Linked DNA regions of Oreochromis niloticus. The protein of the gene in region 1 binds, or shares a complex with, the protein of each later gene. Links are inferred from orthologs where the notes say so. Each region holds a gene or a part of one and is shown on either strand. Other genes may lie near its edges. The genes, in order: snrpd2, gemin2, cwc15 and cript.

Region 1 (7,629 bases):
AGGGACTTCAAGTGGGCGACAAAGATTAAAGTCACCTTTTTGTGTCAGAACAAATCTAAAATACAGATAAAAATCCTCCTGTTTGTTTCTGTGTTCTGGCCGTGAATAATAAGCAAAGTTCTTTTTCTTTTTTGGCGAGACGTTATGGTGTCACTGTAAATGTTATGGTTATTCAAGTTTATCACATCATCATTTTAATTACTGGTAAAGTTAAAGACCAAGTCAGATGTTTGTGTGAAACCGTGCAGGGATTATTAAATTAATTCTTTAGTTGGAGCCAAAATGTTTTTTGTGTTCAGGGATGTTGATTTTTAGCCCAAGTGAACATAAATAGATGTACCAAATGTGATGAAGCTGAAATACTGAATTCTTGAGAATGGGATAAACAGACAATCTGAAAACATAAAACCAGTTTTTGTCAGAGAAATTAATAATATAAAGACTAGTCTACATTTGTGTAATGTAAACTACATACACTCTAAAAGCTGTAAAAATATCTGCACAATGTTTTCATCTCTTCATCACTTTTATTATGAAAATGAAAAAGACAGAAAAGCTCCGCAGACAAAGAAAAAAATTGGTCACTTTCATGCCTAACATTTTAAATGACAGTCAAAATGGGAGAAACATCTTTTTGATGACACGTTTTCTGTCTTAATAGTGAATTCAGTGATCCAACATCAAAATCAAAACAAATAAGGTTACGGCAACTACAATCAATTGCCTTGAGGAAGTGTAAGAAAAAAAAAAGAAAAGAATAGGTGAGCGGTTCAGAGAGTTCATTTTCCTGTGATCAGAGGATTTCTCAGCACCACGATGACAGAATCCCCCCTGAGGAACATTTTAGAAATGTAGCGGTCCTTATTTACGGGCTTCGACTTCTTCTTTCCCTTCCCGCTCTTCGGAACTTCTGTCCACATCTCCTTCACGTTCTCCAAGACCATGTTGCAATGCCTGAAATGCCGGTGAGGATGTAATGTTAGCAAGTTAGAGAAAATAAATGCATACATAAATAAAATACCTGTGATTTTACTCAGGTACTCATACATATGCATTTACATGTACATGTTCTGTGATTTTTTTTTTTTTTTTTAAATCTTCTGCAGTATCAGAAGAAATGATAAATAAATATTATACCTAAAATGGAAAAAACAAAACAAAAACTACTTTTCAGCTGCTACCTCATTCACAATGGGTTACTCCGGTGGGTAGTTCTGTATGTTTCAATTTCTATAACAGATCTTTCTGATGGAACGTCAATAGGAGTTGGCGGATCTTTCACTCATTAGGTGAGTAAACCAGCTCATTAAAATGATTGTATGTGCCTGAGGACAATGTTCCAGCAACATTATACAACAATTACAAACTAAATGTGTTTGGTTACTTTTACCTTTAAGACAGGGCAATATTTCATAATAAATTAAAGGTGCTAAATGTGACTCCAATGGAGAAAAATAAGAAACGAGTGAATACTAAAAAGGGACCAAAGTGACACGATAACATGTTATCACCAGTGGCTAGCAATAATAATGAAATAAAGGCTTAAATCTAACAAAACAGACAAAAGAAACAAGATATAAAACACACTGATATAAACAAGTAAGTCTCACATTATACCCTCAAGAGTGTTAAATACTAAATAAATGTCCAATTCGGTACCTGTCAAAAGCCTTGACTCTTCCGAGCAGCTTCTTATTGTTGCGACAGTTTATAAGGACCTGCGTGTTGTTCTTCACTGACTGCGTGAGGACTGAGAGGGGGCCGGTGTTGAACTCCTCCTCCTCTCGCTTCTGAAGCTCTTCAGGGGTCATCTCTGACTTGGGCTTTGTTAAGAGGCTCCTGCAAATGAAACAATGAGACAACATCATAACAGTATCCTAATAAGTGAGTGTGACAATAACAGTGGCATATATTTGAAATAGTAAAGTAGTACTATTGGAGGTTTTTTGTTATTAAGATAACACAAGACTTTATTGATCCCACAGCAGGGAAATCTGTGCGTTGCCACAGCTCAGGTACAGATAGACTAATTATACATTTTGATATTTTTTTTTATTATTAGGAAATTTTGCTGGAATTTATTCATTATTTGTTGTGTGACTACTTACTGAAAAAAAGTTAAGTGGAAAACTTAAACTGTACACGGTACACAAAGTAAAATGTCTCGCTACACCTGTAAAATTGGTATTGAGCACAGATGCATTTATCAGACAGCACACACACAACACACTGAAGCTTAAACCTAGCCATTTAAAAGCTTCAGTGGGTCATATTTTGGGACATGTTTGGGGACTTTTATGCTTTAAACTATTTAAAAAAATAATAATTTTTACGTCACTAGACTGCTACAGGTCGCAATTAGTTACCAGCATGAAAACGCACGCTCACACACTTTGTTTCTTGTTAGCATTTAGCAAACTAGCATTTACGCTATAGTCTGATTTCGGAATCAGTATTTTTAAACTGTACAACAAGGAAGACCAGATGTACGAACTACTTTTGATGTAACTACAACAAATCTGTAACACAGCTAGTTATGAAAAGGGAGAGCTCCGAAAGCGTCTACAAAGAATCAAGCACATCAAGCTAACCGGCCCGGGTAGCAGAAAGGCTAACAATGTTAGCCTTTTAAATGCTCGCTGTTAGCGGATTTCAGTGTCTGAAAGAATAACCAGTCTCTCACAACAATAGCTGATCATCACAGACACTTACATGATTTCTTTAGGTCGTTTTCAGCTCACTCTGTAACAATTCGGTCGTTTTCAGCTCGCTCTGCAACGATTCCGTATGGCTCGCGTGGATCAAACTACTTCCGGGTCTATTGGAAGGCGCTTCAAAAACGCCGCTACAACTACCGGGTTACTACAGGCTAACTGAACGGTACAAAAAAGTCAATCTGAAACACACCGTTTCCATCATTAATTGCATTATATTTTACATTTTATTCAATAGACTGCCTCTAAAAGCTGACTAGATATGATTTTATTATTCTACTCCGATGATCTATCCTGTTCACAAACTAATGACACATTAATTGCTGAATTTTAAGAGGTAAGACAAATATTTGTTGTTAGTCCAGAAAATCAGAGACAGAACATTTCATCGTATTTATCATCCAATTTTCTGAAACACAATGAGCGCATCAGGAACCCTGGCATTTTTTTTTTGGATAGTCAGTTTTGGTAATCATATAGTTTGATAAGAGTCCTCACATTAAGTCACTTCATTGGCTCCCAGTTGAGTACAGAATAAACTATAAATCCTTCTATTAGTTCATAAAAATTTTAAATGGTTTTAACTTTTATAGTAAGCCCATGAGATTACGTGTAGTAAAATATGGTATATACATATAAAATTGACATCACTGTTAACATATTAAATACAGGATAAATTCTTATGTAAGCATGCTCAAATTGTCTTTCAGTTTAAAAGCATAATTTTCTTATTATAGGGAATAGAGCAATTTTATGTTTTTTTCTGCAAAGAATACTGATACTCTAATAATAATAACAATAATAATAATAATAATAATGATAATAATAATAATAATAACGGTTTGGGACTCAATATAACTCAGACCTCTTAAGAAGATGTTATAGGATAAAAGAAATAAATCAGAGAGCAGTCAAACTGATATGCAGACTCAAACAGTTAAGTCATTGTTTTGCTCTTCGGTACAACAAGAACGAGTAAAAAGAGCACGTCTATGTCTGAGAGAGGGAGATTGGCTTTCTGGCAAGAGACAGACAGACGCCTATAGGTGTCCAACCCACCCACCTTGTTTCAGTGGTGGCAGATCTACCTGTCGAAAGCACTTGCTGCAGATAATGGCAGCCTGTGTGCTGCTGAGGGAGGGGAGTGTGATTGACTGGGATCGATTACCAGCGCTGCTGGGCTACATCTTTATGGAGCACACCTAGCTCAGCCAAAAGTCTTGCATCCTAAACTGTGGTGTAAAATGAGCTCATATACATGAAACGGAAAAGTGGGAGTCTGGAAAGACTTTGTTCAGTTAAGAGAGCAGGCAAATACTCAGTAACTAACCAAAAAGACAAGAAGAAAATATGTGAAACAGCCAAGTAGAAAAAGTAAAGTTTCCTTTTTGTTAACCTAAATTTTATTGGCTTTCAAAACAGACAGAACAGTGAGAACAAAAAATAAAGCAAAACATACACATTAACAGACATGCAGATGCACAAAGTAACTGTAAGATTCATTTAATTGGATTGTGTTTCTAAGAAAATGGATAGACCTGCAAGAAAGTGAACAGGATTTTAAAGGATTTACAATTCCCTCAGATTTATCAAAATATATTGTGGACATACTGTAAATCTTAATATCTTAAGTTTGCATCACTTCCCTCAAGCAGCACAAGGTGGCAACTTTTGTTATTTGCACTTCATTTACAGGAAGGTTATTATTCTCACCCAAAATCCCAAATATGGTGAAAGAGTCAGACTGAATTACTAGTCTGAAAAAAATATCTGACAGCACTTTGAAGACTGAGTTCAAACACGTGAACACGTTAGGACACCTCCAGAAAGCGTGTGCCAAAGAGGTGTGGGTATGACAGATTGACTCTACATTTGGAAAGGATTTAGAGTCTAATGTTAGTGAAACTGAACCTGTACAACACCTTACACTGAACAAGGACATGCCGGGCACAGACGGATAGCCACCCTCTCCCATAAGTGTTTTTTAAGCTCTTTTTCAGTGCACAACAAAAATCTGTTAAATCTGTTTGATTTATAATAATAATAATAAGAAGAAGAAGAATTTGTGGTAACTTGTGGTAACAAGGTTTCTTTTTGACAGAAAATACTGGAGCTTAAACAGAGCCTGAAAATTTTGCAGCGTGGGAGAAACAAGCTGGCAAACACTGATGCTGATGTTGATCGTCAAACAGGTGCACTTTGAGACATACTGATGCAGAATGTTCAGTGGCTTTAAAGAGCTGCTCTGTTTCTCCAAACAGAAATGATGTGGAGGGAGAAGTCGAAGGTCTGGCATGGACTGCTTCATGCTCAGCAACTGAATTCCAACCTAATTTTAAGGGAACAACAAATGCAGATACGTGAGGGTCTTCAAAGACCCTTTCCTACTCACCCAAATCAAACAGAACAAACAGAGGTGTTATTCCCACTTTACATTTTGTTGTACATTTTAAAAAATGTATCTGAAAACTGAAATTTGAGCAGAAAGAGATGATAACTAAAGAGTTTTTTTTTTAAAACTTTTGATTGGTTTTGAAAAAGCCATCATAATTTCTACATTTCTGCAGCTTCCTGCACACCAAAAACCAGCGAAACCTTATTGTAGCAGGGTGAATTATAGCTCTATGGTTATTAGTAGAGCTGTCAAACTAAACATGTTATTTATTGCACTAACAGCAAACAGTATCTTCTTACTCCTGCCTCAGGATACTTTGCACCAAAAGCTTGTTGCTTCACAGCTAAGCCCCCCCCCCCTTGCTGCTCTGCACACCACAGTGCCACAGTGCTTCATGCCAAAGTGTAAATATTATCTTTTGTATCTATCTAGACAGTGAGTTACCTGATCCAGCCCGGTCTGCTTTAACCACAGGTGACTGTGGATGTGGCTGGCTTTGGAAAGGTGGTGAGGTTTTTTTTTCTTTCTATTTATGTTTTTGATAAAGAACCCTTTGTTTAAAAGAGACAGCTGCTCTAATCTGCATCCACATACATCTATTAATTTAAATCTCCAGGGTGCAGCAGGGAGGAGAGGTGAGGGAAAGTTTAACAGGCAGTGATGTCAGCGCAGGTTGAAACACAAGACAGATCAATAAGATCTGCGCGACTGGAAATGCCATGTCTACCTGTTGAGGTTACATCACAACCTTTTCCACACGATATCTCCTCGAGAAACCTTTTTAGTGGAACTGTTCATAAACAAAAAAAGAATGGCTCAGAGCATACCCACACAGAGGCCTCTGTGCCTCACAACCTTTCCTTAAAACATTCAATCCAGTCTATATATAGTTCTTATTGTGCGGGCTCAAATCTCCAGAGTGAAACATTTAATAACACAGCCAAATAAGAACAATCAACAACAGCAGCTTTTAATGAGGTAAAAAGAAAACACAATTAAAAATGCATTATTTATCGTTTAATTACATGTAAGGTCATTAAAATGGGAATGTAATATATATATGGTTGCAACATTAACGAAATCGAAGACAATAAGTGCAGCAAATGAGCAGTTTAAGTATCATTTTCACATCGCATTTTCACCCAAACTGAAAACTCATAATTTAAAAAGTGGACTAAAAAATCCAAAAATCCAAAAAACCAAACCAAAAAACCCGGTTCCACCCGTTCGTTTAAAATTTAGCTGGAACCTTTTCGAAGTAATATTTTAATGTGTTGGACACCATGCTGGAGAAAGCAAATCCCTTCATCAAGAGTTATATATTTTTCGATTTTATTTCATGTTTAAAATCGTGTTTTCTTCTCACCTCCCTTCAAACCAAAACTGGTGACATGCGCCAAAAAACCCTTCACTTTTTGATACCAATAAACATACATGTGGGAAATCATTGATGAGGAAAGTTAACAAAGGATAATATTTTTTCTAGTACAATTTCAGAAGCAGATGCAAACTCGGTGAACGTTAATTGCATTAAAAAATGATCTGCGCATATCCGCGCATATCCTAGGATTTACATTATATGCAAAAACACATTTTTTTGCTCATTTTCGGAAATGTGTTTGTCGGATGAAGTATTTTAAGACTTATAGTCCACGCGTCATTTATTTTGGTCATTTAAACTTTGCAACTCTGAGAAATAATCCAAGTCTATTAACGCTTTTTTACTTAGAGACATCCACTGTGACGCAGACATTTGGGTAAATATTGCAGGATTTTTATCATTCATCGGGATTCTTTGGCTTTGCCTTTTGTTTCCAACAATTAGCAAACTATCTACAGCAATGTTTCAAATCTCACATACTGGCTGTCGGGACTGTTTATCTATTTCTCTATATTCCAAGACGACGGGCTCGGGCTGACTTGAGGGCAGTAATTTGAAAAGTCACCGCAGCATCCTCCGAGGTCTGAGTGACCGCTCTTGGGTAAAAACGTCGCCGCTGGTGTCTTGGAGGTGGCGCACTCCTCTTGACTAAACGTGGCGGCGCACGGTATGTGGTGAGAGTAAAAGTAGCTGGCTTGTCCGGAGATCATGTTAAAAGAGCACGGGTCTGTCAGCGGCAGCGTGCACGCGGGGATGGAGGTGGAGAAGGCGGTGCACGCGGCGCCGATCTGGTGGCGACGGGACTGCGCGCAACTGAGTCCGATGTAAGACATCTCCTGGTGCGTCTGCACGAACCGGTCAGCGTCCGCAGCGTTTGCGCTCAGTCGGGCCCGCTGTGAGACCACCGACGTGGCGTGGTTGGAGAAGCGAGGGTGCGCGCTCAGGTAAGTCCCCGCGCCAAGGTGGGTGCGCACCGGCGCTTGGAGAGGTAGAAACGGCGGAACCGGCCAGTAAAACGAACTGGCTGCGGCCAGAGTGACGCTAGTTGCAGTGCTGGAGGGCATCACACGACCGCCTCCTCTCTTCAACCCAAGCTTGGCCCTGGAGCCAGCTGCGGCTCTGCGCCGCAGTTTTCCCGA
Region 2 (7,321 bases), on another chromosome or scaffold:
TATCATCACCCTGAACAATTTAGACACTGGTGGTTTAAAAAAAAAAAAAAAAAACATTTAAGGGGCTCTCTTTACACAGAGTTCCATATAACAAAAATACAGAGAACCTTACCTGGCAACAAGACAGATGAGCAGGTTGAGGGCGGGCAGTTTATCATCTTCCTGGCTGTCCTGTGAAGTCATGCAAGCAGGGAAAAGACTATCAGAGTAAATAAAATCCCATCAAATCTCAACAAAGAACTAGAAAAACATGGCATGCTGTGGCCGTTTCAAGCATGGAGTGATAGCACATAGAGATAGTGCTTTACAGGAGATGGTAGGATTGTGGCCTACCAACGTGCTGCGGAGCTGGGCGCATCTCCGGGCGAGCTGTCGGATGGATGAGTGAGCTTCAGGCAACAGAGGCTTCTCCAAGCAGGCCAATAAAGCATACAACCAGCGTCCCTGAAACAAGAAGACAGACTGCAAACTCAAGTATTTCACAATAACTGCAGCCAATAAACCATCACCTTCTATATCTGAAACATAAGACAGAGGCTGAAGAAATGTTTGGTTTCATGATATCTGTGAGGAATGCATTCATAGTCAGCTCATATCTATCTTGAATGCAGCACAGGATCACTATAAATGCGTGTGGAGTTCGGAACCAGCATAAAAATGTGTCGCTAATACATCAGACTCACCAACTGTGGAACAAATTCTCGTTCCTCGAACCAGCCGATGAGGATTTCCAACACCATCAGCACTGTGGACTGTGGACAGGTGGGAAAACACAAACACACACATCGTCTAATCAGGCTTCGACTGGTTTAGAACATCTTGAATGTCTACAGAGGGATCGTTTACCTGGTTTAGTCTGCTGATGATGCTTAGGAAGGGAGGGAACCCCATCTGAACAGACAGAGAAATGCTGAGGTAAATAGAGCAGGACATATTTTGGGTCTGAAAAGTAATGCAGATGCAGAAGTGCTTTCACTCTAAATAAAAACACTTCCATTTACATAGAAATCTGTGGAAAAATGGCCCACAACTCCCTGATGACTCAGTCACTAGTTTCAGCTCACACTGAATACAAAATGAAGTGATTTTTTTTAAATTATTGGCATTATTAGGAAGATTTTCAATCACAGGTTGTTACTTGTAAGTGTGTGGTGTCAGGTCCAGTTTCAAAACCTCATTATCCAATGGGTGATAGACATGACCGACAGCTTCTTTACTGACAAAAAATCTTACAGATTGTATTCATGATGACACAAAACATTGAGATATAGCCATTACATATATAACCTTGCTATAGTCCAGTGCTGGCTCCTGTTCTGCATCTGTGTGGGTGGATGAAGTGCCCAGATAGACCTTCTCTCCTAAACAAAACCTCTTCCAACCCTCCTCATCCGTTAGCTTTGGCTGTAACACACAAATACGCGCATACATAAAATTTTAACATAAATTCTGTTTTCAAGTTTGCCTCTTGGAGAAAGACAGAGGGATTTATTAGGTTATTAGAGGAAAGCATTGCATGCTGAAGCATCAAATTTACACATTATCACATCACCATCAGCACGTTGTCATCTAGAGTCTGGCTGGTCCAGTGTTTCCTGTGCCTTGTGATACTCTAAAGGGAAAAAAATGTTGTAAAAGTTCATAAATTGTCAAATATCCACTTGTACAGATTTGTGCGGATTTGGACCTACAAAAAGTTTTAGTGAATTCTGTTAGGCTGTGCTATTGTATAATATCATAACAGCAAAAAGGCTCTTACCTGTCTGATTTCAGAGAAATTGCTGACTTGCTGTTGTTGCCATCTTAGACTTGGGGAGAAACCCACTGGAGCAGCATGACACCCTGCCACCTAAAAACCAGAAAACAACCCCACAAAAAATGTAACTGAGAAATAATCAGAACAGGTGATGCATTATTGAAATGTATTTTGTTTTATTTTGTATAGCATCTTCTTTTCTTTGCTAAATGAACTTCTGTATACTGTTTACATGATCAACGTAAAAATTGAACACAGCACAACATTTTTCAGAGCCTATCATTCATTTCTAACTGTGCAATGAAAACTATGAAACGATACTGAGAAAGATTCATACAGGTGTGCTCAGAAGTTTCCATCCACTCATCGTGGGTATGAATGTTTTGACTCTTTGTGGATTACAGAAAATCAAAAGTAAATTAAAACTTGTGCACCCAATTCTTGTTTTTCAAGGTTATTGAAGTGAATGCTTTAAAATCATTCCATCCTGAAAAAAAAAAAGAAAAATTCAAAGAAATCATTTAAAAGCCCAACATTTTTAGGCCATTCACATGCATGATGAGTGGGACTGACTGCTCACATCAAGGTAAAAATACTTGAAATACTTTGTTTTGCAGACACCACACAGTAACAAAGCTAATGAACCCTCTCACTATCAAGGTCAGGGGTTTGTAATTTTCTTTAATTTGTCATACACCTGGAGCATCAACTGGTCTCAATACATTTGCCTCTCAGTTTACTTACAGATACATTCACTGTTTGCTTCTTCCTTAGTTTTTTTGGGTCAATCTGAGCGACCACCACCTCTGGGCACAATGAAGCCTCCAGCCTGTCCAAAAGGAAAAAAGTTCATTGAAGCAGCACGACCACCTCAACTAATATATTAACACACCAAAGAGACAACAGGCAAAGAGAATCTAAGAGTTAATTACACGCGAGTATTAATAAGAGGTGTGTTCTTTAGGTTGGGATGCACTTACTGGACCTGTCGGAGGTACTCCTGGGGGTTTCTCGGCGGTCCGCTTAGGTCCAGGTCCTCACCGGTACCGGATCCACACTCCATGGGCAGCAGCCTCGGCATTAACTCCTCTACGTCTGACTTCATTGTGACTGAATGTGTAAGCTCGGCTAGCTTTTAGCTAAATGAAGCAGTCAAGCTCAATTAAAAATACGGACTCGCAACGGACCAAAACACTAACCTTTTACCAAGAGTAAACACAACCAGACTAGACCGCCATCTCTCTCGCAAAACAAACGCACAGTGATGACGTCGTCTTTGTGCGCGCGTTTGCCTTGTTGCCACAGCAACAGACCAGCTGTCAGTCCTGGAGAAAGGTCGAAAATAACAGAATGGGTCTGTTTTTAGTTGCCATGGCGTTTACCCGGAACCTCGTTTATGTGTGTACGCATTAAAATCTCAATTAAATGTCAATTAAAGCAATTTTCCATTAAAATTAAGTCTTGTAACGAAATAGAAACCTTTGACCAGCGAACTGATAATATTTGGTATTGCAAGCAGGCCTGAGATGTTAATGATTATCCCCATACTGGCCTTATATCTTATCTCAGCTGTTTCATTTAGTATTGAGTCTTCACACAGCAGCAGCTCAGAGGCAATGTTCACTTGCCAGCACAACGGGCCTGAGTTATTTCCACCCCACTATGGACATTTACTACTAATAGCCTCCAGTTAAAAGTCAGATAATCATGGCTATTTTTCAGGTCTCTAGGTTCCTGTGGTCACTGGGTGCAGTTTTAGTGATTTTACCCCACTTAAATCTCGGATTATTGTCTGACTACAAGATCTGCGGAGACTCTGAGTGTCAAAGTAAGTTCAAAATCTCCTGATAGCTCCTTAAATTAATGACGATAATGATGGTCACCTCACCCCTGTGTTCTATTGCTGTGGTGTGTGCAGGGCTCCTAAGCAGAGTGCAGGCCATAAGGGACCACCGTGGTAAGGACTGTCGTTTCCTGAGCTTCAGGCAAGGAGACACAATCTTTGTTTACCACAAATTGACTGGAAAGAGGAATGACCTGTGGGCAGGCAGTGTATGTGTCATATTTCAATCTTTTTTTCCTTTCTGTGCTTCCCTAAAGCTTCATTCATGCCAGGTGCTCACTTAGAGACAGACAGAAAGAAAACCTAATCCCTTGACCCCTGCACTGTAATACTGTGAGGTTTGGGGCAGTTTGCTGCCAGGGTGTTTCCCTAGGATGAAAGGGCAACCTCAAATCAATCAGTACAAACTTGTGTGATGACCTTTATCCTTTGATTGATGGGATTGGTCTTTTTCAGAATAACAGTGCCCCAATTCTCTGTGCAAAGGAAGAATGAATTATTTGATTATTATAAAAGATTATGTTTGCAGTCATCATCAATGCAGAAACACCAAATGACAGAGCATCTTTTTAAAGAATAATCTGTTACGACAAATGTTGAGATTTCTGTGTTTCTTCAAGGTAGAAAGAAGAAAAATGCTGACAGCTCCTTTGTTTCCTTTTTTATTTCAGATTGACAAAGAGTTTGGATATTTTCCAAAGGACACAGTGCAAGAAGAGGAGGTTTATACTACTGTGGAGAAAGTAGTGGAAACACAGGTAATTTCATCATTCACATGTAAACAAACTTTAAGTATTAAAAAGTATTGTAATTATTAGTATTATTTCTATTTTGTCTTCCTTGTGTCCTTCCGTAAGAATTACAATTTTGCCCTTTTTCTGCAGAAATCTGATTTCTTCTGCATGAATGAGTTTGGCTCCACTTATCTGGATATGGATGATGATGATGATGACGATGATGATTATATTGATCAGAAAATCCAAATCCAGGAGCCAGAAACCACCCAAATTACCCAAAGCACTGATGACACGAAAGCAGAAAGCCACTTAACAACCTCAGACTCCCCAGTTTCTGCACAGGAAGAAGAAGAACAAGAAGAGGATCAGAATAAAAATGTTGGTGGTTCCGGAGCTGGGTTTCAAGAGGAGACACATGAGATTCCTGTGGTTCCTAATCAACAAGGTGGGTCTCCCTCCTCTTCCTGGCTTGGTTCTTCAGTGACAGGATGGTTAGGTCTGGGTAAAGAGGACCAACCTGACAGTGTGGCTGAAGGGGAGATAGAAGATAAGAGGAAAGAAACTCAGGCTGAAACTTCGCTCACGTCCTCTGTGACAGGTTGGCTGGGCTTCGGAGGAAATGGAAAACCTGACAATGGCAAAGAAAGTGTGAAATTTAAAGAAGAAACTGCTGAATCGTTAACTTCAACAATGACTGGGTGGCTCAGCTTTGGAGGTGGAAGCAAAAGTGAGACAGAAGAGGAACAAGAAGCAGATGAAGACAAAGAACCCACAGAGAAATTCAGGAGCAGGAGGATGTCCTTGGACCTTGAAGGCAGCCAGTTGCAGGAAGAGGAGAAGAAAGAGATGGGGACTTTAGGTTGGCTAGGGAATGGGCTGTCAAGCACGCTGGGGTTTGGTTTGACCAGTCAGGAGTCAGGACAGGAGAAGGAGAAGGAGGAGAAGGTGCAGGCTAATTCTTGGTTAAACATGGAGATTGGAGGTATTCTAGGTTTCAGGAAAGATAAAGTTGGAGATGATGAAAACAAAGAAAGTGAATCTAAGGAGGTAGAAATAGTCACAACTTTAGAGCAACCAACAGGATCGCAGAATGTGGATCACAGTGAACCAGAGGAGGAAATTATTAAGACAAGCAATAATTCAAAGGAGGTGGAAGAACTGTCAGAAGACCAAAATACCCCTACAGAACCCCTTAATGGTCACAGTGTTGATAGCAACACAGATACTTCATACAGTGGGATAAACAGTGATTTCCATGAAGAGGCTGAACCCACAGTTGATCACAAAGATATTTCTCCTGATAGGAAGTTTGAAGAGGAATCTCAGGCTTTAGCAGAATCACTCTCCAGTAAAGATGATGATGACAATATAGAAAAAAGCAAAATTAATGAGGACAGATCTGCAGAAAGGGAAGGTGAAGACGCTGAACATATGGATAACAGCAGGGAGCCAGGAGAGGAAGAAAGAAAAACTCTGAGTGCTATCAGTCAGGATTCTATAACACCATCTGAAAGCATTTTGGGCCCTGATCACATTTCAGTGGATTTAAAGTCAAAGTCTGTGCTGGTCAAGGAAGATGAAAAAGACCAGATGGAGAACAAGAAATCAGAAAGTGTGGAGGAGGAAGGGGCAGAAATCACAAATCAAACTGATAACACAGAAGAAGAAACCACAGAATTGGCTCTTAAAATTGCCAGGGGTGACGATAATAAAGGAGAAGTCAGTAATGAGGATACAGATTTATCTGGAACTCAGACTGAGGAGCTGAACGGTGATGTAGAAGACAGTAGCAAAGATAGCCAGCCTCACTTACCGTCATCTATGGAGAAAAACAATCCAGTTCCAGCTGAGAATGAAAGTTTTACTCCTTATAGTGCTGAAACAAATGATGACAATTCAGATACAATAGCTCTTTTTGATAATAACACAGAAGCAGAGACAGTTCATGGGGAGTTAAAGCAGGAGGGAGAAACTCTGAGCTCACAGGAATTGGATTCACAGCATAACCCTGTCAGAAGCACTCAAACTATCCCAAAGGATGACAGAGGAACAAGTGGACTAGCCACAGATCCCTCTGTGTCTCCAGTGATGGAGCATATTGACAATGAAAGTGACAGTGATGCAGGCAAGCTAAAGGAAACTGTTGAAGACAACATAAACGAGTCCCAGCAGGTTAAAATAGAGATAGAGGCATCAGGCACTGAAGAAGATTTAAATGAAAATGACCTGAAGTCAGCGATAAGCTCTGAATTAGAGGCTGAAAAAGAGGAGGAGTCAAAGGATGGGGGGAATCAAGGGGTGATGAAGGTGGAGGATAACGAGGAACTGGAGGATTTAAAGGAGATAAAAGAGCGAAAGGAAGATGAGAAGGAGAGTAATGAGGCAGAAGTGGAGAGCATGCAGGGAGAGGTGGAAGACCTAAAGGAGGCTAACAAACATTTGAATACAGAGGAGGAAAAACACCCCAAGGTGGAGGAGTTAATGGAAGAAGGGGAACTGGTGGGTCTAGAGGGAAAAGAGAAGAAAGAAGGTGAAGGGAAAATGGTGAAAGAGCAAAAGGAAGATGAGGAAGAAAAGGAGACTAATGAGGCAGAAGTGGAGAGTATGCAGGGGGAGATGGGAGAGCTAAAGGAGGATAGAAAACAGCTGCAGATGGAAGAGTTACCAGAGAAGGAAAAAGAGGACAAGGTGGAGAAGTTACAGAGGGAAGAAGAATTGGAGGGTGTACAGGAAAAAGAGAAGAAAGATGAAGAGGGAAAAACAGTGCAGTCTTCTTATTATGAGGCAAAGATCCTGAGCACCATGAACACAGAAGAGACAGAAACCTATGACAAAAATACACAAGGTGAGAACGGCTCAGGATCATCTTTAACTGAAATAGTCGCACAGGTTGAAAGCCACCAAGATGTGGAAGGAAAAAATGGGGAGGATGGAGAGAAAAAAAAAGCCAAGGCAGAGGAGCTAAAGTTTGAAGAGACTGACCGA
Region 3 (7,532 bases), on another chromosome or scaffold:
GTTCATAAAGCAGTTTAATATGAAGACAATTTATTGAAAAAAAATTAATTTGACAAGAAATGCGACAGACAGGGTGTATTGTGCCTTTCACCCAATGACAGCTGGGATGTGCCTGATTTAGACTTCTGCAGGAAATCCAAGTTGTTCTTTCTACTGCAACCAGAAACCCGTCTTAACTCTACGCTCTAACCTTCCATGTCATTCAGTTGTTGCAGTCTGCTTCGACCTGATGTGTAGCTATATTTCTCAAGTGGTGCAGATCAGGTTGCGGTGTAGGGTTAAGAAGGCTTTCCGGTTACGTTACAATTTCCCACAGAAGTCTAAATCAGGCTCCAGCGCCCCTGTGCCCTTGAATAAGATAAGCAGAAAAAAGTCGATGGCAGATGGCTGCATAAAGAAATAAAGGCTTGACTGCAGATCTCTACACTGTTTAAAATGAAATGTTTGTGTGTGTGGAGTGGCTAAACAGAAGGAAGACATTTCCATCTGATGATCTGACTGGATCCTAATCTAACTGTGCATTTGTGGAGATGCTGGTTTATATAATCTCTGCCAGTTTATTGAAAAAAACCCAAAAGAAAATAAATGCTTGGTCACATTTAAAAACTGCACTTAACTTTTGACAAATTTCACTCAAAGATGTCACGTTGACACATTTATATACAGCATGACTGTACAGATGGATACGTGGTTAATAGCATGGATAGATGGATGACTGTACAAGTATTAATGAAGTTGTATACAGAGTTTATTTGAAAAACCATGTACCCTCTGCAACAGAGGGTAGAGGAAGGAGACCAAACACATTAGATAATAAAAACAAAAACAATACAAATAACACAGAGGAAGTCCTCTACTTTACATATTTCTCCATAAATTTTTTGTGAAATTCAGAGCGCAGTGTGTCATTGACAAAGCGTTTCTCCTTCCGTGCCTCATCCACTCCTTTGGCGCAATTCTTGAACACTACGTCATCATCCCACCTTGAATAATATTAGGAAATGAAATCAAGATTAGATTTAAGAGGTCTTTTTCTCAAATACAAAGCTCATCCTGTGGTTATACTGTGGGTGACTGTGTATAAGTGAGACATACCTTCTCTTGACTCTGAATGTATTCTGTGTCTGGTTCTGTTGCTGCTGTCCAGCCAAATTAATCAGTGGATTGCCGCTCAAGATATTTTCCATTCGAATTCTCTCCTCCTCTGCCTTTTGCTCTCGCTCCTAAGATGGAAAAAAGAAAATTTTACTTAATACAAAGAAATAATATTTCTTCTGACCAAATGTAACGTCTTATTTTAGTTAGTGCAAACAGAACAGCCTAAAACACAGTTACTTTGCGTTCTTGCTCTTCAGCACGCTCTTTTTTAATCTTCTCCAATTCAGCCAAAAGAGCTGCAGTGTCATCATCATCACTATCTTGATCAGAGTCCTCGTCCTCATCATCCTAATAAAATAAAAATCATTGTTAAGGGAGATTAATCAGTACTAACCACTACTCAAGTTAAGTGCCCAAAATGTCTTGCATTGTAGACACTCACATCAGTGAGAGGATCATCAGCATCAAGGTTAGCAGCTGGGATCTGATCCAGTCTTGGCCTCTTTGAAGATGACGAAGAAGATGATGATGATGTGGTGTGCTCTGGAAAAAATAAGACCAACATAATGCCATATGTGAGAAAATAAATATACACTAAAATATATTTTACATAAACAGGAAGTCTAATTTCTGCAGAAAGACCAACCTCTTGGTCCCCTCTCTCTGGTCTTTTCACGTGCTGCTACACGCTCCCTCTCCTCCAGCTCTCTACGAAAGTCACGGGCACGGACCTCCTCAGGGGCATCCTGGGTAGGTTGCCTGCAGAAGGGAAAACATTAGCAGATCAATAAATTGTAATTTTCGTCCAGAACGCTTTCTGGAACACTTTCACCAATCTCACAGTGAGCAGACAGATAATGCAGTACAAACTGATCCGAAAGCATCTTTCCTTCTAGCTAACCAGCCAGCAGATCAGGCAATGATAAAACTCCATTCACATTTGATCTTCTGACCTGTACTTGATCTTTGTGTGACCTGGAAGATCTCGACTGGAGTATTGCTTGGAGAGAGCACTCAAATCACCTTCTCCTTTACCCCTCCCTCCTCTTGCCGGCTCAAATGTTGGTCTTGCAGCTGTAGTCATCTTTGATGGCTCTGCAATGGGACAAAGAAGACATTAAACCTATCAAACAGGTGGAAAAGTTGCAAGCAGAAAAAGCAGAGCAGACACGGTGTCCATAATCAAATTGTAGTGCCCTACAACACAACACGCTTTTACTCCACTTATGTGCCTTATAGAAAGTCAGAAGGCTCATCTTTTTGGTTTTTAGACAAGCTGGTACAACATACCCTTTCCCAAATATCAATTACCTACTCATTAAACCTCAGTGGTGATCAAACCGCTTATAGTTCACGTGTATATCTATATTAGCAACGTAAATAACAGTTGAGAGGCATTTAGATGACAAGTTACGTAATTTTCCTAATAAATATCATTTGTTCACCTGCTAAAACTCCAGGTCAACCAATTAAACCTATAATTAACAATTTTCTGATTAAATTGAGACTGTGGCATTTTAAATACTTCTTTGTAAGATAAATATCAGCTGCTAAAAGGCAGTAAATGAAAAGAACAAATTAGCCTGCTAGCTGCTAAAGCTAAAACGCTGCTACGCTAACTTCCTATAACAACGCCGATGAGGTTGAAAACGACACTAATTCGAGCCTTCGGTAAGACGGATAATGTTTCAGAGAAGTGATATTACAGCCAAAAATAAAGGAAATTTAAAAAATTCATTAAGCAGTATTTAAAAATTAGGTTTAAAGAAACAACACTTACAAAGCCGCTACCACACGACGAAAGGAACACCGATACAACAATCAACGTCACTTCCGGAAAAAAAAGATGCGTTCAGAAACACTCAGAGAAAATAGCGTGCGAAAAATCAGAGATTTTAAACTTCTTACATCTCAACATAGCGTTGACACCACTAGGGTCTACGCGTATAACTTAACAAATATGCTACAGCCTCTCTAAATTTTATTTTGGAAACCACCACTTCCGAAAGACTGATAGACTAAATAGACTGCAGGGGCATCAGCGGAGGAGTGACCTGTCTTCTGAATAGTGCGTTGTGTTACAGTGAAGGAGTTAAATGAGGATGCTGTTAAGTGCAACGCTCAAACAGATGCGTAGAAGATGCATTCAAAGCAAAACCTCCCTGTAATGGTCACACAAACAACTCTAACACAGTACAGGGTGGGCCATTTATATGGATACACCGTAATAAAATGGGAATGGTTGGTGATATTAAAGTCCTGTTTGTGGCACATTAGTATATGTGAGGGGGCAAACTCCTCAAGATGGGTGGTGACCATGGTGGCCATTTAGAAGTCGGCCATCTTGGATACAACTTTTGTTTTTTCAATAGGAAGAGGGCCATGTGACACATCAAACATATCGGTAATGTCACAAGAAAAACAATGGTGTGCTTGGTTTCAACATAACTTTATTCTTTCATGAGTTATTTACAAGTTTCTCTTTGTGCACAGCCACTGACATGTCGAAGAGGTTAACACGTGAGGAGCGGATCGAAATTGTGTTGATATCTGGTGAACGTTGTAACCGGGTCATTGCAGCAGATTTCAATGCAAGACACCCTACGAGATCACCCATCTCCCATGCTACAGTTAGCAAACTGCTTGCTAAGTTTCGTGAAACTGGTTCAGTGTTGGATTTGCCAAACTGTGGACGCAAGAAAACTGTCACGAATGAAGAAACATCAGTGGCTGTCCTAGCTTCATTCAGCAAGAGCCCACAGCGTAGCACTCGCCGCATGTCACTGGAGAGTGGCATTAGTCGAACATCCCTTTGGCGGATATTAGCTACTCACAAATGGCACCCTTACAAACTCCAGCTACTGCAGCATCTCAACGAGGATGACCCAGATCGGTGCACAGAATTTGCAGAATGGGCAAAACAAAAATTGGAACAGGACCCTCAGTTCACGCAGAAGATTTTGTTCAGTGATGAGGCAAACTTTTATGTGAATGGTGAAGTTAACAAACCAAACCACCGCTATTGGTCTGACACTAACCCACATTGGATGGATCCCTCCAAGACTGTTGGACCAACAAAAGTGATGGTTTGGTGTGGTATATGGGGTACAACGATAGTGGGTCCATTCTTCATCAATGGAAACCTCAAGGCCACTGGATATTTGAAATTGCTACATGATGATGTGTTTCCCTCTTTATGCACTGAAGCTGGCACGTTCCCTGAGTTTTTCCAGAAAGATGGTGCACCACCACATTATGGGTGCCAGGTCTGAGCATTCCTAGATGAACAGTTTCCTGGAAAGTGGATTGGTCGTCGTGGGCCAGTTGAATGGCCCCCAAGGTCTCCTGATCTGACCCCCTTAAACTTTTATCTTTGGGGTCATCTGAAGGCAATTGTCTATGGTGTGAAGATATGAGATGTGCAGCACCTGAAACTATGGATACTGGATGCCTGTGCTGGCATTTCTCCTGCGGTGTTGCTATCAGTGTGTGAAGAGTGGGAGAAGAGGGTTGCATTGACAATCCAACACAATGGGCAGCACATTGAACACATTTTATAAGTGGTCAGAAACTTGTAAATAACTCATGAAAGAATAAAGTTATGTTGAAACCAAGCACACCATTGTTTTTCTTGTGACATTACCGATAAGTTTGATGTGTCACATGGCCCTCTTCCTATTGAAAAAACAAAAGTTGTATCCAAGATGGCCAACTTCTAAATGGTCACCATGGTCACCACCCATCTTGAGGAGTTTGCCCCCTCACATATACTAATGTGCCACAAACAGGACTTTAATATCACCAACCATTCCCATTTTATTACAGTCTATCCATATAAATGGCCCACCCTGTACATTCAGTAGTTTTGTAGTAGTGTTGCTACACTCACCAAAATTCCTACTGCTATTATTCTATTATTAGTAGTAATATAACTTAGTTGTGTTGAAAAAGACACACACTTTTAACGTTGGCCCCTTTATGTTTGTAACATGCATTTTAATGACACAAAAAAAAGTACACTCCTTCATTACTAATTGTACACATCATTCACCACTTCGATGGTTTCTCTTTTATCTCGATACTGTTCTGTGAGAGAACCAGGAAAAGAAGTGGTTCTACTGGATTCCACTTACCATTCAAATATTTTTTGTCTAAGCAGCAATACTTTTATTTGTATTTGTATTGTATCTTTATTTTGAACATGTTTAAATAGACAAACAAGCAAAGCAAAACTAAAGGAAAACAAAACAATAATAATTATAAATAACTTACATGTTCAAAAAGGAGTAGGAAGAAGCATAAAATTATTTAATCCCACCACCTTTCCACTATTTAGTAACTAATAGTCAACACTTTTTCTTCCTGTTCATGCCCTACCCATCATAAATTCTTCCTTACAATTTGTTACATGTATTTGCTTTTATTACCTGAGTAACACGTCAAAAGATATACAAATTTACAGATATATATACTTATACTTGTGCACCCACACATACACATCCCTATTGTGAAACTTTACAAACTGAAGTATAGAAACTGGGAGAAAACTGGAAAAATAAAAAAGAATGACACAGTTATAAAAAAAAAAAGTTAAACATTTTCATGGCATCTTTACAGGTTTTGAGTTAGCCTCAGTGAAAGAAAGTGAATACCCTTACGTTTAAAAACCTGAAAAGTAAATGGACCAGTTCTTATATACTGGTTTTCTACTCTACCTGAGCACTCAAAGGACTTTATACAAAATGTTTATTCACACATAAAGTGCTTCCTGTCTAACACTCACACTCCAATGAACACACTGGAAACAACTCAGGGTTCAGTATCTTGCCCAAGGATGCTTTCGGCATGCAAACTGGAACAGCCAGCAATTCAACCACCAACCTGCTGTATACCCTATGAGCCACAGCCATTACAAGAATTAAAAAACACATTAATCGCTTTTGCACACAGAGTCCCCTGTACACCCACAGACCAAAATGTGAATATTTCAGTTTATTAAAATGTAAAGTAAACATCAGATAATGAGGTTAAGCTTTTCTCCGTGCTCTTTTATTTTCACTGGAGAGAATGGGCATTTCGGTTCAAGGATTTTCAATGTAAATATTATTAAAAAGGTCTGATGAGACAGTAGATTAAATTCGAACAACTCTGAGATCTGGTCCCGCTTGATTCCTAGAAGCCTACCAACTGGAACAGTATGCTTGTGAAAGAAAGTCTTTGTTGTGGGTGAAACAATACTACAAGCTTTTTATATTTGAAAAAAAAAAAAAACTTTTGTGGTTAATGATATGCAGGTTTTCAGTTGTCTACTTTTTTTTCTGTGGCACAAAGGCTATTGTTCAGGGATGGGCAATTAATTTTCCCATGGGGCCACATGAGAAACTGGGACTGTTGTGGAGGGTCGCACCAATAAGTGTATAAAGAGATTACATTAATATTGAGCAGAATTGAGTTCAGTTTAATCCCCTGCTATAGCCATTAGTAGGAAAGAAAACAGGATCAAGCACTAACCTGCAGGGTTCATTTAAATACCTTTAAGCTGTCAGGCAGGTTATAAAAGCCTATTTTTAATTTGCTTCTCAGCAAAGACTGAAAATCTCACTAGAAAACATCTCTGGAATGTGACTTCTCACACTCACAGAAAAATCGAAACCACAAAACAGTGCTGTCCCTCTTATCACCCAGCCTATCCGCTTGCTCAATGAGCCTGTGTAGCATCATCCAGGTGCGGCACTTCAAAACTAACAGGGGAGAGGGGTGGGGGCGGGATCTGAAACTGCAGGGGGTGGGGCTCCGGTGAAGGTATTTCTGCTATCTCATTCGCGTGTCACAGAGACCCGGAGGAGGACCGACACTGATCTGCTCTGACACAAACAGGTGAGAACACAATACGGCACAAAAATGGACTTCACACCCCTGTTCACGGCCTGTGTGAGAAGGGGCTCATTACCAAATCTGAATTGCTTTCCTTTTCTATGAATAATGAATTTGACCTGCTTAATTGGGGCTGGCACATCTCCAGAAAGATTCATCACAAGAGATTAAAGCACTAAGCACAGGTCAAAATGTTAACAGGCGCTTGAAGAGAATACAAAACAGATGCGCAATATGACAAGATGCAGAGAGACTGGGGAGAGGGTAGTGCACAAGGGACATTTGTTAATAGTGTTTACAAGCAGATTAGATTTTTCCACAAGTTTTATTGTGGAATGCCTTCTGGTATGCTCAAATGGTTTTATTCAGATAATAATAACTGTCCATGTGTGTTAATAACAAAGAGTAAATGCTTCAATATCACTTTATCATGGTGGATTAGTTTTTATGTACATGAATACAGCTTTACAGGTTGCGAAGGGGGGTGAAGTGGGAATGTGTGTAGAGTATGACAGATAAAACATAGTGGTTGTGCATTAGAAAAACTGCTAGAAAAGCAT
Region 4 (7,956 bases), on another chromosome or scaffold:
CTGTGCTTTTGCACAGGAAAGATGAGCGAGGTTATTGGTAATGTCAGCCATGTGCTAACTGTCTAATTTTACTTATACTGCACGGTGTTTGGCCAAAAAAAAGTTGTTTAGCCCGTGCAACAGGGACAGTGATTGATTAATGTACTGTGATCCACTCTCAGATCCTGTTTAGGTAGCTGTTTGGGGAGTTTATTTCCCACTTCCAATATGAAGAGAAAGGTTATACAAGCCAGGAAGCACTGGATCTCAGTTAACCGTTCTCATAGAGCAATGATTGATATCAGCTAAGTGGGTAAAAATCTTTATTCTTTCCTTTCATGTTTTTTTCTGTAATTACTAGTAACGGATGCTAATAAGATGCTTTCTTGAGAGTAGCTTTACATTAAAAGTTATAGCCTTATAGTTATAGCCTTCATCAAGTCCTCAGTGCTTAGGCTCAGTGGAGTTCACCTTACAATAACAACACATTTGCTCTGTGTGATTAGCACATCATAGCTGCAGATCTCAGGCCATCTATCAGTGTTTTCCTAACCACTTATCCAACTGTCATAGCGTGAGAGACACGGTACAGCAAACACAGCCAACACAGAGAGACAACTTTTCACTCTCAAATCCACATCTACAACTGATTTATAGTCAACCTAACAAGCATGTTATCATACTGTGGAAGACACATCAGCTCCCAGAAGAAGTTTGAACCCAGAACCTTCTTGTAGTGTGGTGACAGTGCTAACCACTGTACCACACTAATCTCAGGGCAAACCCGGTATTTCCTTGTTTCTCACTTCAGCAGCACTTATATAAACAATTAATGGTTAAAGAGTGTCATCTAGTGGTAAGAATTTAGTTGAAGTTTACTTTAAGAGTTAAATTCTAAAAATTGGACTAAAATGAGAACTTTTAAAGTTCATAGAGTCACATTATAACATGTATAAATGTTTAAAACATATTCAACCATTTAAAAAAGTTTACTTGCTAATCTCATGATACATCAGTGCAGTTCTTTATATGTCTGCTATGCCCTCCGATTGTTTGGCCACTTCATGAAAGACAGCTGCTCTCGCCTGTCTTTGTTGCAGTTCTCCCACACCTGACTGCCAGAGCCGTACGGGATTATGCTTGTTTGTAAAATCCATGTAATTAGCTCCAGCAGCAAGTGCCCCTTTGCATTTAGTCACCAAGCTAAGAGATGCATGTTGATTCAGGATTACTTATAGTGATCTTGGGAGTTGAACTGTGGCAAACCTGTGGGACCTGCTCTGTTCTGTTGTGTTTGGTTAAACTTGTCTGTATGTTAGCAGAAGCTTTTGTGGCCAGGCAGGGAGCGTAGGCTTTGTATTTGTGCTTTGACATGTAACTTGGTGCTTCTTTTCTTTTTTAGCAATAAAAATAAGTAGTTTTTTTTCTGTTTACTTTATTATTGTAAATTGATTGTAAATAAATGCCTTGTTTGTTCGACAATCTTGTATGAATGTTTGTGATTTGGTCTGCTGGTATGTTATGTTGTACTCCATGCCCTCCATAAACTGCAGATAAAAGCCCTTTAGATATGCAAGTCAGAGATGATTGTAGGCTTATATTCTTGAGTTACTATCACTGGTTTTAAAGAAAAGAAAAGAAAAGAAAAGAAAAGAAAAGAAAAGAAAATTGGATATCAGGTCATCTCCAAAGTACATGTATGTACATTGTGAATAATAGTAATAGTAATTTTGGACTTTAAATTATTTCTTTCAACTGTTCCTTTTCCAAGGGAATAATTGTACAGAACACATCTTGAATGACTTTAAAAAAACAAACAAAAAAACAAAAACAAGAATTGGGTGCACAGGTTTGGATTTTCTATAATCCACACAGGGTCAAAAGTATACATACAGGATCAAAAATATACACACACTATCATAAGTTTTTCATTAAATGGTGCTGAATGTTCTACAATGTATTTTAACCTGACAAGGCCAAAACTTCTTAACTCCTCCTCAGTGATCATGATTGACTACAACTGGTAGTTTCGCTTTGCTAACACAAAAATAATTTGTTTTACAACACTCATTGGAGTCATCAATACTCAGAACAATAGGAAAGTCAAAAGAACTCGGTGAAGATCTAAAAAGCAGAACTGTAGATTTACAAAATTAGGTACTTTTCTTGGAGCAATTTTAAACAACTGTGGACTCCAAAATCGTCAGTTCAAACAACTGTATGTAAATACAAACTACTTACATGTGCTACCACTTTGCCAAGGTTTGAATGAGGACGGAAACGAGGAATCACCAAGGCACAAGATTGGTCATGAACTAGAAACTTTTCGAACACCATCGTTCATTTGAAGTGACTTTTATACTGCAAAGGACTGGTGGTAGCATAATGCTGCCAGTGATACTGGTAGACTGCATAAGGTGGATGGAATCAAATAAGGAGCCAGAACTATGCCACAAACCATATTCTTATTTTTCTTTTGTTTGTTTTAAGTCATTCAAGCAGCCCTTGCACACTGGTGACATTATGCCATTGAACTGAAACAAATCCAGATTTTACTCTGTTCACCTGTTGTATTCCGGGCTCCATCCTTCCAGGTGTCAGGAGTGATGACCTTACCGAGCTTCTTCTCACCTGGAGATAAAAAGCAACGCAGCATATGTAACAAAAGCAACGCAGTGGATTTAAAGGAAATAAGCCTAGAAGGTGAAGGTATGTTTTCCTGAACCAAAACAACAGTGAGGACAGTAATAACAACAGTTAGCATCACATAGCGTTAGCCAGCTTTCTAAGGATCATCGAGCTTCTCTTAACGGGAAAAAAGACATTAGAATTGAAGATCTAAAATAAATTAAGTGATAGGAGAATGGCGAGATACCTACACTTTTCACAAACCATTGTCCTTCTTTGTTTGTTAAAATAGAAGCAGAAGCGTTAGCTGCGTTTAGCTTTCTCTGTTAATGTAAACTTCCGGTCGTTACTTCCGTTTCCTTGCAGCTCGCAAACGATTGATTGGTTAAAGCCTAGATTTCAAATCTCAGATGCCATTGGTTAGCTTTACTGCGCTTCGGCGAGGGTCCAAGTAACCCGTTCTGTGATTGGTTGCAGTTTCCCCTGTTCATCTGTAAAGTGGACGAAAACCTGTAAGTTTTCTTTAAAAATTAAAAGTTTGCTGCTGCATTATTTCACACGTGTGAATATAACGTGTGAAATATAACGTATGAAATACGTGTGAAATAATTAAATCCAATAAATAATAATAAAAAACTTTTAAAGCTTACAAACAGTAGGCGACTATAGCAGTCAGGCAGAGATAGTTTAAAGAACACTGAAGAATCTCATTTTTCTATTTCCCGTCAGAATAACGTTATAGCAGTGAAAGTAGAAAAAGAATGGCCCTCACTGATAAATAGTGGTTCACATCTAGCTACATGTGACAGTGTTCACATGTTCTGATTAAATAGGGAAACTGATTAAATAAAGGATTATGTTCAAACAAGTATACCACAAACATACAATTTGTTTTCAACAAAAAAAAAATCTGTGGTAAAAGTGGCTTAAAACAAAATCCACAATAATAATAAAATGAACGGTGGTTTATGGATGTAGTAAAGGAGGATAGGGTGGAGAGGGTTGGTGTGACAGATGAGCAGGGTAGTGGTAGGATGAGATGGAGGCAGATGATCCACAGACCCATAAAGGGAGCAGCTGAGAGATCTGAAAATGGATTAGAAAATGTTCTACACAAATATAAAAACACAAAAGTCTCAATGACTCCTTTGTCACTTTGGATTGAATTACACTGGACCAATTGCATTGGCCCAGGTCTCACATGTGAAAGATGAGAAAAGCCCATCTCCCACCAACCATTCTCACCACCTACTACAGAGGGAGTATCGAGAGCATCCTGAGCAGCTGCATGACTGTCTGGTATGGAAACTGCACCGTGTTAGATCGCAAGACCATACAGCGTAAAGTGAGAACAGCTGAGAAGATCACTGGAGCCTGTCTTCCCTCCAACACAGACACTTATTGAATCAACTGCATCCACAAACCCACCAGCATTGTGGAGGACCCCACACACCCCTCACACACACTCTTCACCCTCCTGCTTTCTGGTAAGACATACCGAAGCACTCACGCCCTCAGTGCCAGACTACAAAACAGTTTCTTCCTCCAAGCTGTCAGACTCCTGAATACTCAGAGACAAGACTGACACACCCACACACCTTTATACATTCCATTACCTCAAGTACTTATTGCACAATGCTAAAGTCTTTTTGTAAAACTATTGCACCATCTTGTGTCTGTATGGTTCTGCTCTATCTGGTGTCGCACTGTTTTTTGCCATTTTTGCACACTTGCACTTTAATTAGTCCTGTGTTGATTTACTGTTATATGTAGCACCATGGTCTTGGATGAAAGCTTTTTCGTTTCACTGTGGCAGCAACAAATGTATACTAAATGCATGGCTGTCTGTAATATATTTAAAGTTGTTAAAACTATAATGTACTTTTATTGAACTTTGTCTTGCCTCATCTACAAGGAATAAGTATTGTACTTTTATTTTGAAGTGAAAGCGGAAGTGAGCATGGTTCCATGTTTACGGAAACAAGGTCAAGCGATTCATCTATGGATGTTACCTGTGCTACAAATCCAGCGTTACGTTGAGGTTTAAAGTGTTTTGTGTTCAATTTGTCGGTGTCCTGTTGTAGTTCGCTACAGCCTTCACAATGTGGGACCATGAAATCAGAGCCATGGCGTCCACTCACGCTATCATCGCCGCTTCGGTGTTCATGGCGACGGTGCTACCTGCTGTGCTCGTACCGGGCTTCTCGGTGTACGGCACACACCTGCTGTGGCTCTACTCGGTGTCCGCTGCGGTCACCGCGGTCAGCGTGGCCGTGTTCTGGCTGCTCGGGATCACACCGCCCGCCAAGAAGCACACGCTGGGATACAAGGTGCTGATAACGCTTTAATAATGATGGAGTGATGTGTGCAGTGCCACATGGGCTGTTTTATTTTTTTTAAAAGTGCAATCAATGCAGTTTTTAAAAGAGGGTTTCATTTGTTAAGGGGGGAAAGCGATCCAAACCGACCTGGCCCTATGTGAAACACTAATTGCCCCATTCAAATTTTGTCTTGCTAGTCCACAGAATATTTTCCCAAAATTCTAAGGGGATCAATAAGATGCTGTTTGGCAAATATGAGACAAGCTTTTGTTTTAAATTTGGTCAGCAGTGGTTTTGTCCTTGGAACTCTTCCATGGATGCCATTTTTGCCCAGTCTTTGTGTGTGGTTTGTGGATTGTGGTGTAATGTGTTGCTCTTAGACTACTCCACTTTGTCAGACAGACTCTGTTCAAGTGATATTTTAATTCAACACGTCTGGCAGTAATCAGGCCAGGGTATGGCAAGTAAAATTAAAGTTGCCTTTCCAAAAAAAGAAAAACATCTTGACTTATTTGTATATAAATTAATGTGAATACTTGACTCTTGCATGTTCATCAAACCAAGATCTTTTTTCCCAGGAAGTGATCTTTTTATATCTGGATCTTAAAGGTTTGACTGTTTTCTCGCTGTTTTTTTTCTGCAGCTGTCGAGGTTGCTTCGCTCCTGCCTGTACTTCTTCCTGTCGTGCCTGTTCTTCCACACTGTTGTTGTCTTATACGGAGCTCCACTGATCGAGTGAGTTGTTGTTTTTGCTCGTGTTTACATGTATGTGTTTAACAGAGGTTGATAAAGAGAGACGCAGAGAGCAGAGATCGCCACAGTAATACACAATAAACTAAGGATCCATGGAAGGATCACACATAAATGAATGAAAACAGCAGGCAACTACAGAAATCTTCAAACCCTGAAATGATTCTGTCACTTATAAAAAGTCAAGTGAACTGAATTTCCCAGAGGAACCCACCCGAGGGATTAATAAAGTTTCATCTAATCTAATCTAAAGTGTTTTACTTTGTCTCTGCTTGCTTTTTTATGTGCTTTTTTTTTTTTAAACAAAAAACAAAACTGTCAATAACGCTCTTATTGTAGTTGTCGTTGATACCGTGAACCTATCATTTCTTACAGATCTGCCTTAGAAACATTCTCCCTTGCTGTGCTGCTGACTTCGTTAACCACGCTGAGGTGTCTCTGTGTCCTCGGCCCCAACGTCCAGGCCTGGATACGAGTCTTCAGTCGCCACGGGTAAGGCTGAAATCATTTTCCTTCTTTTTCTTTCCTCCTGGCTTTTCACATGACTCTGTGTTGAAGATAGTAACTGTTCTTGCTTTTTCTTTGTCTCTGGCTCCAGAGCTATGTCTGTGTGGGACACCTGTCTGCAGATCACTGTGGCCTGCACACTTGTTGGAGCCTGGGTCGGAGCATTCCCCATACCTCTGGACTGGGATAGGCCCTGGCAGGTAATTCTATGCATGGACAAAGCGTATACTCTTGGATTTGTATCCTCACATTAGGTCTTATACAGTCTAGCATGTGACTTTTTTATGTTTAGGCTCCTTTTTCATTAAATTACATGCTGCAGTTTAATAAACGGGTTCCTGATATTTCCTCTACACACATTCATTTCATTTAGATAAAAATAACCCAAGAACTGGCTCAGTCAGTAGTCTGGCTGTGGCACTTTGTAAGCAAATTAGCTGGCAATGAAGGTACATTCAGTACTTTTTCTTTCCCCAAGTGTCGACGCAGCAGATGGATCTACGTGTTTAATTTGGCACAGAGTTTGTGCCAGATGCCCTTCCTGACACAACCTTCACATTTATCTGAGCTTGTGACCCCGAGGCTGGGTTTGTGTCTTCTGGTCTGAAACCAGGGATCTTTTCCATCCCTGGTTTAATTTGTTAACCACTAAAGCACGGAGAATCAAATGTCAATTTTAAATTTTTTTTGCAAATAAAATGAATATTTCTTGCTTTGGAAGAGAGAGTCTGACTAAATCTCTAATCCACTGTATGTAGAAATGTTCTCTATCCACAGTGGAGTTTTTGCTCTTAAGACAGGGAACTAACACGACCATTTAAACCATATTACCCGCGAAGCCTCTCTTAGATTTTTCTGAGGTTTTCTCAAATGACTGCTGGATTCACAAAGGCCTCTTAACTGCATGGACTTGTAAATTACTGGTTTCATTTTGATGAATGGAGGAGGTGGATGTCCTTGTGTTTTCATTATTCCGTTAAAAATACCTTTAAAATGACCTTAAATGGGTACTTTTCTGCTTTGTTAGTTGGTGAGTAGCAAAAGTGTTGTAGAAGGGGAGAAAAGGAAGAGAAAACAGTAAAAAAATTGGAATACACGTGTATTAATAGCAGCAACATCAGGCTGATGTGCTGTAGTGACAGAAGTAAAGATTGTCTTTCAAAAGCAGGAATGAAATGATAGGTTGCTATGGTGATATATAACACAAGTGTGCCAGAGGATGATACTGGGCACTAACCTGCATGAAGCCGGTGTGGTAGCTGTCAGAGTGAAAAAGCTGGTGTAAATTACACATTTTTTTTTTGTAGTTGATTTAAGTTGTTAACTTCCAAATTCTCCATCACGATGATTTTTTTTTTTTAAGCACTGGACAGAGTAATCAGCCAATGAATAATGAATTAGATTGTTTTTTTAATGGAAAATGGAACACATTAAAGTTATAATTGCACAGGGAATTCTGTGTAAAATGACTGAAGGAAAATGCAGAGGTAATTGGGGTGTAACTCAAATTGACAGACTAATAGTTCAGCTTCTCTTTGATGTATCGGACCAGTGTCAGGCTTTTAGTGAACAATCATGCTCACTTTTCTACTACTTCTGTGTTTTTGTAGGTCTGGCCTGTTTCCTGCAGTTTTGGCTCTTTGTTCGGCTACTTGACCGGGCTTGTTGCAGCTCCAGCGTGGATCCATTATCACCGCAAACAGCTCACATACAAGTGCAAGTGATAGTCAGACACACGTGTATTATGCCTGTGCTTGTGCGAATGTATCCA

What was found.
Region 2: snrpd2 (region 1) and gemin2 share a complex: the UniProt entries of both Homo sapiens proteins name them as parts of the SMN-Sm complex. The link is inferred for Oreochromis niloticus from reciprocal best matches to the Homo sapiens genes SNRPD2 and GEMIN2.
Region 3: snrpd2 (region 1) and cwc15 share a complex: the UniProt entries of both Homo sapiens proteins name them as parts of the minor spliceosome. The link is inferred for Oreochromis niloticus from reciprocal best matches to the Homo sapiens genes SNRPD2 and CWC15.
Region 4: snrpd2 (region 1) and cript share a complex: the UniProt entries of both Homo sapiens proteins name them as parts of the minor spliceosome. The link is inferred for Oreochromis niloticus from reciprocal best matches to the Homo sapiens genes SNRPD2 and CRIPT.

The regions. Positions count from the first base shown.
Region 1 is NC_031979.2:15,055,097-15,062,725, forward strand, and holds snrpd2 (small nuclear ribonucleoprotein Sm D2), read right to left. Parts: upstream 2,861-7,629; 5' UTR 2,715-2,860; coding exon 2,713-2,714; intron 1,840-2,712; coding exon 1,660-1,839; intron 955-1,659; coding exon 780-954; 3' UTR 508-779; downstream 1-507. Other genes in the region: foxg1c (forkhead box protein G1c), read right to left, coding at 6,991-7,629. UniProt on the Homo sapiens protein: Plays a role in pre-mRNA splicing as a core component of the spliceosomal U1, U2, U4 and U5 small nuclear ribonucleoproteins (snRNPs), the building blocks of the spliceosome.
Region 2 is NC_031983.2:25,158,310-25,165,630, reverse strand, and holds the start of gemin2 (gem-associated protein 2), read right to left. Parts: upstream 3,018-7,321; 5' UTR 2,862-3,017; coding exon 2,737-2,861; intron 2,586-2,736; coding exon 2,501-2,585; intron 1,850-2,500; coding exon 1,760-1,849; intron 1,613-1,759; coding exon 1,553-1,612; intron 1,405-1,552; coding exon 1,288-1,404; intron 892-1,287; coding exon 847-891; intron 753-846; coding exon 684-752; intron 445-683; coding exon 334-444; intron 172-333; coding exon 113-171; intron 1-112. Other genes in the region: mia2 (cTAGE family member 5), read left to right, coding at 3,128-3,154, 3,479-3,584, 3,675-3,808, 4,271-4,357, 4,484-7,321. UniProt on the Homo sapiens protein: The SMN complex catalyzes the assembly of small nuclear ribonucleoproteins (snRNPs), the building blocks of the spliceosome, and thereby plays an important role in the splicing of cellular pre-mRNAs.
Region 3 is NC_031975.2:10,962,454-10,969,985, reverse strand, and holds the start of cwc15 (protein CWC15 homolog), read right to left. Parts: upstream 3,019-7,532; 5' UTR 2,879-3,018; intron 2,194-2,878; 5' UTR 2,183-2,193; coding exon 2,052-2,182; intron 1,858-2,051; coding exon 1,745-1,857; intron 1,642-1,744; coding exon 1,541-1,641; intron 1,447-1,540; coding exon 1,336-1,446; intron 1,224-1,335; coding exon 1,096-1,223; intron 984-1,095; coding exon 854-983; 3' UTR 1-853. UniProt on the Homo sapiens protein: Involved in pre-mRNA splicing as component of the spliceosome. Component of the PRP19-CDC5L complex that forms an integral part of the spliceosome and is required for activating pre-mRNA splicing.
Region 4 is NC_031973.2:10,623,946-10,631,901, reverse strand, and holds the start of cript (cysteine-rich PDZ-binding protein), read right to left. Parts: upstream 3,011-7,956; 5' UTR 2,875-3,010; coding exon 2,859-2,874; intron 2,689-2,858; exon of another isoform or gene 2,611-2,688; coding exon 2,545-2,610; intron 1-2,544. Other genes in the region: pigf (phosphatidylinositol-glycan biosynthesis class F protein), read left to right, coding at 4,710-4,937, 5,572-5,663, 6,054-6,170, 6,277-6,385, 7,796-7,909. UniProt on the Homo sapiens protein: As a component of the minor spliceosome, involved in the splicing of U12-type introns in pre-mRNAs. Involved in the cytoskeletal anchoring of DLG4 in excitatory synapses.